Drosophila melanogaster: one gene and its partner. The protein of the gene in region 2 interacts with the protein of the main gene of each other region in a biochemical or structural test. Each region holds a gene or a part of one and is shown on either strand. Other genes may lie near its edges. The genes, in order: Tnpo-SR and SC35.

The links.
Region 1: the proteins of SC35 (region 2) and Tnpo-SR interact in far-western blotting, tested with the Drosophila melanogaster proteins (one study listed by BioGRID).

Annotation. Positions count from the first base shown.
Region 1 is NT_033779.5:2,758,274-2,764,598, forward strand, and holds Tnpo-SR (Transportin-Serine/Arginine rich), read left to right. Parts: upstream 1-1,650; 5' UTR 1,651-1,759; coding exon 1,760-1,873; intron 1,874-1,943; coding exon 1,944-3,035; intron 3,036-3,230; coding exon 3,231-3,397; intron 3,398-3,450; coding exon 3,451-4,815; intron 4,816-4,877; coding exon 4,878-4,938; 3' UTR 4,939-5,616; downstream 5,617-6,325. Other genes in the region: HemK2 (HemK methyltransferase 2), read right to left, coding at 277-951; Snapin (SNAP associated protein), read right to left, coding at 970-1,374; Snx21 (sorting nexin 21), read right to left, coding at 6,033-6,168, 6,232-6,325.
Region 2 is NT_033779.5:12,430,386-12,435,743, forward strand, and holds SC35 (SR family splicing factor SC35), read right to left. Parts: upstream 3,654-5,358; 5' UTR 3,528-3,653; coding exon 3,450-3,527; intron 3,325-3,449; coding exon 3,194-3,324; intron 2,796-3,193; exon of another isoform or gene 2,640-2,795; intron 2,566-2,639; exon of another isoform or gene 2,413-2,565; intron 2,339-2,412; coding exon 1,960-2,338; 3' UTR 1,924-1,959; intron 1,820-1,923; 3' UTR 690-1,819; downstream 1-689. Other genes in the region: CG5435 (uncharacterized protein), read right to left, coding at 1-308, 362-402; eRF3 (eukaryotic translation release factor 3), read left to right, coding at 4,612-5,038.

The DNA of each region.
Region 1 (6,325 bases), 9.7 Mb from region 2:
GCCTTAGCAGATGCCTATTAAAAAAACGAATGATGAAATTCCGGGCTCTTCGTTGGGCAAATGAAGTTGAGCTACTTTTATATTCAAATTCAAATATAAGCGCAAAAATTTCTAAAAGTTTAAGAGCTTTTAAGTTTCATAAGCCATTTCTTTCATTTATTTCAACTTTTATTAAAATTATTCTCCATATTATTTAGTATCAAATTTAAGAATAAACGCCTAAAAAAGTTTATCTTTTAATTAAAATACAACTTTAATTTGATGCTATTGCACGAGTCATGATGATGCCAAGTACCTGGTGACCTTCAGTATGCACAAATGCTCGCCAGGAATGCGTCGCTCCATGAACTTAACAGCCCGGAACTGGAGGCCCTCTAAGTATTTGATAATCTCCTCCGGCTTGTTCTCCCGCAGCAGGAGTAGGTAGAGCACGCCTCGAGGCGAAAGAATGTCATCCAATTGCTTGAGTAGAATGTCCGTGACGCGTCGCCCGTCCTGTCCACCAGCCCAGGAGAAAACCAGATTGCGATCCGTTGAGGATTCGCTGTGCGAATCGAACTGTTGCGTCTGCAGCTCCTCGTCACTGGTGACTACATAGGGCGGATTGAAGAGCAGCACGTCCACGGATCGCGGACGCAGTGCATCCGCTAGGCTGCAGCGAATGCTATCCAAGCGAGCGCCATTCCGAGTCGCAGTTCTTCGAGTGGCATTGCAGGCTTTGGGATTGATATCCGTAGCTAGGCACAGCGAAAAGCCAGCCAGTTTCTTGGCCAGCGCCGTGATGATCACACCCGAACCGGAGCCCAGTTCGACGCAGAGACTCGGCTGTAGCCGGTCCAGGTACTCCAGATCCTTTTCCAGGGCATCCAGCAGCAGGAACGAGTCCTCCGCTGGCTCGTAAACGTGCTCGAAATCTTCTGGGCTCAAGTGGTCGGTGTAGGGCGTCTCCATGACGAACAGTAATTGGATTTAGGATATGTTGGTGCTGAGCGCGGAATCGAGAAGCGCCTGTCGCCGCCGCTGCTCCTTCTCTATCAGCTTGTGCAGACCCGTCAGCCGCTCCTGGCTGGTCACCAACACGTTGCTTATGACCGTCACCTTGTGCTTGACGTTCAGCAGCTCCTTCACCTTGTCCGCGAACTCGGGTATCTGACTCTGCGCCTTTTCGATGTCCCTCAGCTGGGCGGCCAGTGCATCCAGTTGGCCACGCAGCTCAGCCTGCAGCTGGATGGTGGAGGCCACGCGCTCGTCCAACCGCTCGATCGTCGGCTTGAAGAGATTGGTGATGCCCTCGGCGAGGATGTCGCGCGTGGGATTCGTGCAAAAGTTCTCCGTGTTCTCCTCCAAGGAAGTCACGGTGCTGTCCGAATCCATTGCAGAATTCTGATCAGAAAACTGATTAGAGATGTTGTTGCGAGCAACCAATGGTATCGATGTATCGACTACATAGGGGTGGCAAGTATTAAGATATAAAAACCGAGTAGCTTTATTGCTCAAAAAACGAATTCACATAAGCTAAAAAATATTTGACTGTAAAAATATTTTAATTATTTTTAATGGTCCTTAATGTTTGACGCACTTGACAACCCTGAATAATTTCAAAAAGTCCTGCAGACTATCGGACATTCACCTTTCAAAGTTATCGCATGCCACCTCCTTGCGTTATCGATACACGGGATGTACGCAATCAGCCATCGCTAATAAAGTATAATAATAAGTAATTAAGAAATTTTATGCGCTGATTAAAGCTGCCGATGAAATGGATACGTACTCGGTGGACGTGGTGTACCAAGCAATCAGCGCCCTCTTCCAAGGCAACAATCCCAAGGAGCAGGAGAAGGCCAACAAATGGCTCCAGGACTTCCAGAAGTCGGTGAGTGATAATCGCCCGGTGTACGAAACCTTCGTGCGATTGCTAAGTTTTTTTTTGGACTTCCTTAAAGATCTATTCTTGGACGATTGCGGACGAGCTGCTTCACCAGAAACGAGACCTGCACGCCAACTACTTTGCTGCGCAGACCATGCGGAACAAGATACAGAACTCCTTCAGCGAACTGCCACCGCACACGCACGAATCTCTGCGGGATTCACTGATCACACACATAGGCCAGATCGACGAGCAGACGGACAATGTGATTGTGACGCAGCTCAGTCTGGCGGTTGCCGATCTGGCCCTGCTGATGGCCAGCTGGCGGGAGCCGATCAACGATCTTCTGGTGACACTGGCGCCACATCAGTGCGCCATCTGGCCCCTGCTGGAGGTGCTCAAGGTGCTTCCCGAGGAAATAGACTCACGGTATCTGCGGCTGGGCGCCAATCGGCGCGAGGAGGTGCACAAGCAGCTGGACGCCAGCGCAGAGTGTGTCCTAAAGTTCCTGTGTATGTGCCTACAGCGGGAGGATCTCGACCAGCAGCGCGTGTGGAATGCGGCGTTGCGCACCTACAGTGCCTGGCTGGTGATCCATGCCTTTCCCGTCTCGCACGTGTACAACAACGCCCTCACACAGCTGGCCTTCCGGTTGCTCTCGCTGCCGGAGACCAGTGGAAAACTGCACGACAATGCCACCGAATGCGTGTGTGCGCTGCTCTCCTGCATAAACACACGACAGGATGGCGCCAGCGATCCGGAGTCCTCTTTCGAGGCACAACTCTTTGGAGCTGTCTGCATGCTGGAGACTCCCTATCACTTGAGTGTGGCGCACGAGGACACCGACAAGACGATCAACTACTGCCGAATTTTCACCTCGTTGTGCGATGCCTTCTTCTACGATTTATTGGCCGATGCCCAGAAGCCACACTACAGTTTGAAAGGACTGGATCTTGTGCTGCTTTGCGTCGGACACTTCGACTACGAGGTGGCCGAGATCACCTTCCACCTGTGGTACAAACTCTCCGAGGATCTATTCCAGCGCAACGAGGATAAGCTGACGGTTCTATTCCGGCCGCACATCGAGCGGCTGATCAGCGCCCTGTTTCGCCACTCGCAAATGGAGAGCGACCACGACGGGCTCATCGAGGAGAACAACAATTTCTTTGTGAGTGTGTGATATTGAGAAATTTTAGCAGTTTTCTTTGAAGTTGGGTATTTTAATTGAATAGGCATTTATGGCTAGAGTCGGTTTATTTAGAAATGAGTACAAGAAGTTTGATTAGTTTTCTACATTATCAACGTTAAATTAATATAATGCCTTGAAGTTAATTGTACTAATCTTAAAACAAATGAATTGCAGGACTTTCGACGCAAGGTCTCAGATCTAATAAAAGACGTGGCCTTCATAGTGGGATCTGGAGCGTGCTTCAAGCAAATGTTTCATATCCTGCAAGCTCCAGAAACTACGTGGGAGTCCACAGAGGCAGCACTGTTCATTATGCAGAACGTGGCCAAAAATATACTTCCGTACGTATGCAGCTGTTTATTACCATGTCAGATTTACAATACTTACCTTGCAGAGATGAGAACGAAGTGATCCCCAAGGTGGTGGAGGCGATTCTCAATATGTCGGAGCAAACGCACATAGCAGTTAGGTACACTGCGATTCTACTGATCGGCGAACTGTGCGACTGGATTGAGAACCATCCTGAATCGCTGGAGGCAGTCCTAAACTTTTTGCTGTACGCCCTGCAGCAGAAAAATGGCTTGGCGCCAGCTGCGGCCATTGCATTGACTTCCATTTGCTCCGCCTGCCGACAGAAGATGGTGTGCCATATAAGCGGTCTTGTGGAGATCGCCCGCAGTCTGGACAGCTTTCAAATAAACAACGATGTGGCAATAGGATTGCTAAAGGGCATATCGCTTATACTGACACGCCTGCCACGCGAGCAACTGCAGCCTGCTCTGCGGGAAATCGTCGGCTTCCAGCTGCAACCACTGGCACAATTGGTGGACAGCACTGGCAGTACTCCTCAAAAGGGAGAGCGCACCGATCCCGTTTACTGGATAGACCGCGCCTGCGCCATTATCCGACACACGAATCCAGACGTTCCCGACAACGTGGAGCACCCCACGGTAGCTATTCTGAACGACGCCTGGCAGCTGATATCGCGGGTGATGGATAAGTACCAGAGTGATCTGCGTATCATGGAGCGCACCTGCCGACTGATTCGCTACGGCATTCGGATGGTGAGAAAGCAAGCAATGATGCTGGTGGAACCGCTGATCAAACAAATGGTCGTGCTGTATTCTGTGCAGCACCACAGTTGCTTCCTCTACGTGGGTTCCATACTGGTGGACGAGTTCGCAAAGTCCAGCGAGTGCATTGGCGGACTTTTGGAGATGCTTCAGGCATTTATAGAGCCCACATTTGGCCTGCTTCAGATGGAGAACGGTCTAAAAAATAACCCCGACACAGTGGATGACTTCTTCCGTTTGGCATCGCGTTACCTGGACTGTTGTCCCCACCAGCTGCTCCAGAGCAGTCTCATCACGCCGATCTTCCAGTGTGCGCTAATAGCCTGCTCCTTGGACCACCGCGAGGCCAACTCGTCTGTGATGAAGTTCTTTATCAACCTGTTGGTTTGGGGCAGATCGAATAACCATAGCCGGAACACCGAGTGCCGTCCCTTGGTGGTGGAGCTGGCCAGTCAGCATGGCGGTGCTCTGGTGATGAACCTGATCCAGGCATCCGTCTTTCAGCTGCACTCCTACATGCTGGTGGATGTGGCCGAGGTGCTCCACGAACTGAAGCAGGTGGTGGGCAACGAGCGGATGCAGCCCTTCCTGGCCCAGGCGCTGGAGGCACTGCCCAAAAAGAACAGCGGTGGCTACGTGACAGCCACGCAGCAACAGCTGGACGAATTTAGCAGCACAGTTCTGAGGTGAGGATTTGCCATCAGACGTTTTGTATTTTATTCATAATATATTATATTTCCTTTTGTAGAGCGGACACAACGAAAGCCATTTCGCAAGCCTTGAAAACCTTCACGCGACTCTTTCGCTAATCAGGGAGATGCATGAGTTTGGATTCGGATGATTCTGTACATTTTGAATGATGTATGTAATGTGGCAAGGGTGCTAGGAATTTTGTTAAAAACGCACGTACCCCTCTATTTATAATATAGTTGAATCGATTGTTTGACGTAATAAGTTATATATAATTTGAATTGTACATTTTGAGTGCGGTCAAGAGATCCTCACAGAATTTAGCAGTAAGTTATTTACATCAGCGTGCACTCCTAGCTCTAAGTTTAAAACCTAAAATGACTCACAAACAAGCATAGGCATAAGGCAAACCATTAAATATATACCATTTAGATATAATTGACCACATTTGTTCTGCAAAACACTTGAGTATAATATTTATTTATTGAAAAAGCAATCACAAGACATTGGGCTGGAAGAAAAAAAAAACAAAAAAGTCTGGGAGCTGCGTTGTTCGTTTGACTTGTCTGATATTTCCGCAGGCTGATATGGAATTCTGGGCATGGATTTTGAGACACTGCGTCATGGACATTCGATGATGGATTTGTGAATTATGTACGTTGCACGGCTTAATCACAACTCCCACTGGGTACAAACTACAAACTAGACGATTGAAGAGATATCAAACAATACGTAACATGAAACATAAATATGCTTAGACTAACCTTTAAGTTACCAAAGCAGTACGTTACGAACAGAACCTTTTTGTTTCGAATTACATTTAGTCGCAATATTAATGTAAGCTATTAATAAGAACCAATTTTAGTTAAATTATTTGAAAATCTTTGATTTAGTTATAAAAATCTAACATTTTAATTTGAAAATCAGAGTTTTAAAATAACGAATTAAACATTTAGACGAAGAGACGTACATACTTTTTTTTTTTAATTGTTGTCTTAAATTGGTTATGCTTTGTGACACATTGTTCGCACGAACGGACTACTTTGGAGGACAAAGGGGGTACATATGGGCTCTACCTCAAAGGTTGATAAATACTTCTTTCACCTTAAAACTAATTGCACACATTATCTAATTGCACTTTTCGCCGGACAGCTAAAGACTACAGAACAAAATATTAAACTAATGGATGAAAATTGTAGCGGAGATTCACGATTCAAATTGTTTCAGTGCGAGGATCGATCTTGTGTATAGCCTGCATGAGGCTCTCGGTGTTCGCCGTGTTGATGCCCTGCTTGGACATGTCAGTCAGTCGGTCGGTGATTGGCTTTTGGTCCTGGCCGCGCTGCCACCTGAAAGGATGAGATATTCAGATTAGCCTTTTTCTTAATGCGGAAAGATTCGATTGGACTCACCACAGATGGGCGCAGGTGTGAAGCAGGGGAATGTAGAGCGGCAGCAGATCAATATCGCACAACGTCTCGAAGCGACTCAGTGCCAGCAGGGCCC
Region 2 (5,358 bases):
CAGGAGCTGACCAGCTACTTATGGCGCGGCACGTCTCCCTCTGCATCACGTAGTCCACCTTGTCCGGAAATGCTTCGCGGGTGTGATCGTAGCGCGACTGCAGCGAAAAGTCCAGCGTATCCTTCGGGATGTTCGGATTGGCACGGTACCGCTTGCTCGAGCGCACCGAGTTCATCGTTTGATGATAGAAGAGCCGCTGATACGGCTCCAGATGGCCATGCCAGGTGCCCGGTTTCAGATGGGCCTCCGGCAGCGGGGGCTCTGGAAAAGAGCACACATAGGTGCCCTCCGTATGCAGTTCCGGCTGCCTGAGAGCACACAATAGTCATCTTGAGCCAAGTCGGGCATAACTAAAGCTTACCATGATACATTCTTGATCTGCACAGTATCGTACTGAATCATCTTTGCAGGAGAAACCAATATAATTTAGATGAAAGTGTAAAAGGGTTTCTGAATCGTATTCAGAAGGACTTGGGTATATGTGATTTTGCCTTCGGTTTCCCGGCAACTGCTTTGTCAATATACCCCCCGACTACCATGTTTCTCGGGAGTCAATAGAAACCGAAACATAATGGATGGATGTTCTGGGCATCCGAAGATACTAGATCTTTCTTTACAATATTCCAAGATACATATATGTTTTAAAACCCCATTTCAACCAATTAATAACATATGTAGATGGTTAAGTTATAATCAAGTAAAACTTTATTGAAGCGTTTAATTAGGCTGCAAATTCAAAGGGTTAGCTCTCTCACTTACCGAATGTACCAGATCGTTAGGGAATCCCACATTTCGGTCGAGTCAGTATGCAATCCAGACTCTAGCATCCATCGCATCGTCGATGTGGCCTCTGCTGCAAATGATGACTTTTCGCCTAAACTCAAAAGGGACGCCCACCAAGATACAGGAAAACACCAACAACGCCAACCAGCAACAAATCGCGAGTTGAGACGAGACGAGACGAGGCGAGAGAAGAAGTGACGGGAAACGGGAAACTATGAGTGAATCTGGAGCAGCTTTGGCAGCGCCAGCGTCTAACAGGAAACAGGAAGCTGCTACGGCTACGGCAACTGCAACTGCAGCATCAGCGGCACCAGCAACAGCATCATGCGACAGCAGCAGCATCAGCATCAGCATCTGCAGCAGCAGCAGCAGTAGCAACAATCAGGAGCCACGCGGTGTCCGCCTACGTGAGGAAGGAGTTGTAGCTTAGATGATGCGCTGCTGCTGATCCTTAATCGCGAGCGATTTAACCACAATCTTATCTGAACCGCAACAACTGCCACACACCATTCGCCTGCATATATATAATAAACGTGTGGGAGAAGCTTGTTAATAAGTTTGTCGTTAAAAGGTACAAAGAACGGAAACGAGCAACACAAACGCAATCGAATCGAATCGCAACGAAACAAACAGAATCCTAGAGTATTCCTATCACTCATCCACCTCTCATTCTCCTCCTGTCCTGTCTGTCATTTGATATTTAGGTATTGAATTGAAGCCGTGTTAATTTGAGTTTATTTTGTTCTGTTTCTGATTACGTTCAAGGATTTCTACTACGCTCTAGTATATGAAAGCCTATGTGCAAGAACCGACATCGAGGGATCGCCCAGGTTGCGGGGATCTCACTCGGAACATAATCATGCCTGATCTCTACTTATTTACTCTGCCGAAACTTAAAATAGTTCGCTATAAATAGTTGTGTTAAGTGTAAGATTGTATAATGGTTTCTATACCTGCTGTTCGGGTACAGCATGACACAGATGGAGCCATAGATCCGGAACAGGATACAGCATTGGCCCTAGTCAGCGAGTCATATCTGAAAGCAAAGAACAACTAGTTTTAAAATAATCCCTATTTAACGTAAGGTATGTTTAACCTTATATAAAGCTTTTTCTGAAGCGTTACACGATATGAACTCACCTCGCACTCCCACTAAATGGAACGTGACGTCGATATCTAGGAGCGACTGCGACTACGAGACGCGGCTGGGGCCAGTCCTCCAGATCCGCTTCCGATTCCATTGCGGCTGTCGCCGCGTACTGGACTGCGTGAAAATTTGGATCGGCGTTCCGGCGAGTGGCTACCAGGCGAGCGGGAACGGGAGTATGATCGGCGACGCGGACTGCGCGAACGACGGCGCATTGGGGAGCGAGAACGTGACCGACGACGCCCGCCGGAACCACCGCCTCCTCCTCCGCCACGACGACCACTGGAGCTGCGAGTGGGCGAAGAGGGGCGTCCGTAGCGGGCCATCTGTACGCGGAGCTCCCTGCCGTCTAGCATGCGACCATCCATGGCCTCCAGTGCGTCCTCGGCATCACGTTTGTCATAGAAGCTAAAAAATTAAGGACATGATCAACTAGATTCGTGTGTACTTTGCACATACGTTTATTTATATTTAAGTCTATATTTAATTGTAGGGCTTACGGTAAGTTGGCTAGCAGGGGTTTGGTAGGCAACTGTTGCAAGTGTACACATTCAATCTAGCATCCTTTTGCTAAAGAAGATGTACAGACTGAAAGCTGTTACACATTCAAAAGGGGCAAATAATGCAGGTAGATACAACAAATAAATAGAATAAGTGACCTTGTATCAACTTAATGTATCATTGAAGCCATATGTTATGAAACTATAACTTTAGAACTTATTATTTAGATGTAGTATTCTCTGTACGTTGGCTAGTAAATGTTGAGTAGGCAACGGTTGCAAGTGAACACATTTGTTCTGGCACCATTTTGCTACTGAAAGTGTACAGATTAGCAACTGATACACAATCGATGATAGCAAATAATGCAAATAGTTCTAATGAAATGAGAGGAATATTTGAGTTTAGACAAGGGGCGTACTTATTATAGCAGCTATATTCAAATGATATTTAAATGATTACTCTGAGACTTTTGTAATTTGCTTGCATACCCTGATTAATTCAGGGAATACATAACATTTTTCCTCAATGTGCTAGTTTTCAATGAAACATTATAAAGTAGATAGTGAAAGCGGATATGACGAGTGATTGTATAGCATGATTTTCGCAGTATACTTTCGGGAAATACATATATTTTACTCCTAGTATGTATGGATACATTTTAGGTCCCATGATAATTAAAATCCACCGCCGGCAAGTGAAAGTAACAAAACAAAAAAGACCTAAGACTTTCACAATTTTCCCGGAAGAGAAGTGAATGCTTACCGAACAAATGCGAATCCGCGGCTCTCACGTGTGTAGCGATCCCTGGGTATGTAGATGTCCCCCACCTCGCCGCACCGCTCGAAGACCCGACGCAGATCCTCCGGCGTGGTGCGATATGTGAGATTGTCGACCTGTAGGCATAATTACACGCGGATTAATTTACATGCTTTTGGAGAGGTTACCTAACCACACAACGTTGCCAGCCGGCCGCCATTTTGTGGGCGATTTAGTCGCATTTTACTTAGCAGATACTTGCCTTAAGCGAGACCATTCCATCGATCCGTGGAGGTGGACGCGCTGCGCCCAATCCCCCGGCACCACCACCGTTGCTCATTGTCTATTTGGATATTTGTTTTACCGCTAAAATGCTAATGCGAATGCTGAAAACGAGCCAAACTCCAGACGATTTTTTCACTACTGTTAAAATGGCGTCTGGCACGACGTTAGAGCTGGAACAACATCGATTGTAATTCGATACCATTGATGATGAGCTTAGAAATGTATTGAAACCCCAAGGCTCACTACACACTTATCAATATTTACAAAACTCGCATTACACTTCTATTATACAAAATAACTAAATTAATAATTATAAAAACTCACTGAAAGTGAATAAAAAATTATTAATGTCTAGTCACACATAAAACAAATACAGTTTGTATTTATATATGTACATGTGGACTACGTTATATTTAGCCTTAAAAAATTATATTAATCAGAACAAAGTACAAAAGCAATATAATTATTTATGTTGAATAATTTTAAAAGTATTAAAAATCTTACTAAAAAAATTTAAAAATATCTTAATACTTTGCCCCAAATCAATTATAGGCCACTGTGACAGCCAGCACATATCGATGCACCGATAACACCGCATACAAGTGGCAACCCTGACTTGATGCGTGGCTTAAAACGTGTAAAATAATAGAAGATTGCTAGTTCCGAGCACTGCATTTAGTGTTCAGGTAGTCGAATCATACCTGCAGATCACCAGGTGGTCACCACTGCCCCAAACAGGCGATAGTCGATCAAATTAAAGGGAATTCGAGTTCAACCCGAGTTGGCCAGGCTAGCAAAGCACAAACAACAAACACAACACCGAGTCACAACAAAAGTGTAGACCACATTGAGCCGAAAGTCTGGCCTAAACCCCCCACAAGCCACCCCCCCGGCCAACAACCATCAAGGCGTGCGTGTGTTGGTGGCATTGCTTTTGCCATTCCCAATTTCCATTACCATAGGCAATCCCAAGAATTCCGAACGACCGCGTGTGTTCTGTGTGAGTGCGGGAGCAGCAAGAAGAAGCAGCTGAAGCAGTTTGTAGAAGGAGGGCGAAAGTGTGTCGTCGCGTGAAAAAAGCGAGAGAGAGATTTTCATCGGAGGAAACCACTGCGGAGGATTACGGACGCACTGCAACGATGGCCGCCCAGGAAAACACGGAGATCAGCACAAAGTTCTCAACGCTGAACGTGAACGCGGTAGAATTTGTGCCCAGTTTCAGTTACAACAGCGTTGTGAATGTAGCTGAGGAGGCGGCGGCAGTAGTGGTTGCAGCGGCTGCGGCCGAGGAGACGGCGGATCCGGGTCCCGCCTCCGGTTCAGCCACGCCAGCCACCACACCCGATTCCGTCGGCAGCGGGGGATCCACAGCGGGAGCAGCTCCACCGCCTCCAACTGCACAGGGGGCGGGGGCAGCAGCACCCTCAGCACAGCCGCCCACATCATCCTCCAATTCCGCATCGCCAGCGCCGGGTTCGCCAGCCACCACGCCTTCAGCAGGAGCAGCGGCGGCGGATCCAACGCCCATCGATGGTCTCAACCCCTCGGACAAAATCGCAAACAATGGTAAATAGAGCTTGCTAGCTACCTAAATACCCCCTGCCAAATACACATGCCCCACGTCCATTGAACTCGCTTCTTCTGTGACGTCAACAAAGAAGCGTGTTATTGTTGCTACCTGCTGGTCGCAAGACCGTTGGCAGAGACACAACAATGGGGAATGGGATAGGGAAAACCCCAAAGATAGGTTGCATTCACCAGGTTCCGTTTAGGTTATTATCGCTGGCCCTAGTACATAACCTCAATCTGCGTCAGCACTGCCGACGTCGGCGTCGCATGTGTTGCTTGACTTCTATTCGAATTGCGGGCATTATTGTGCCGCTAAA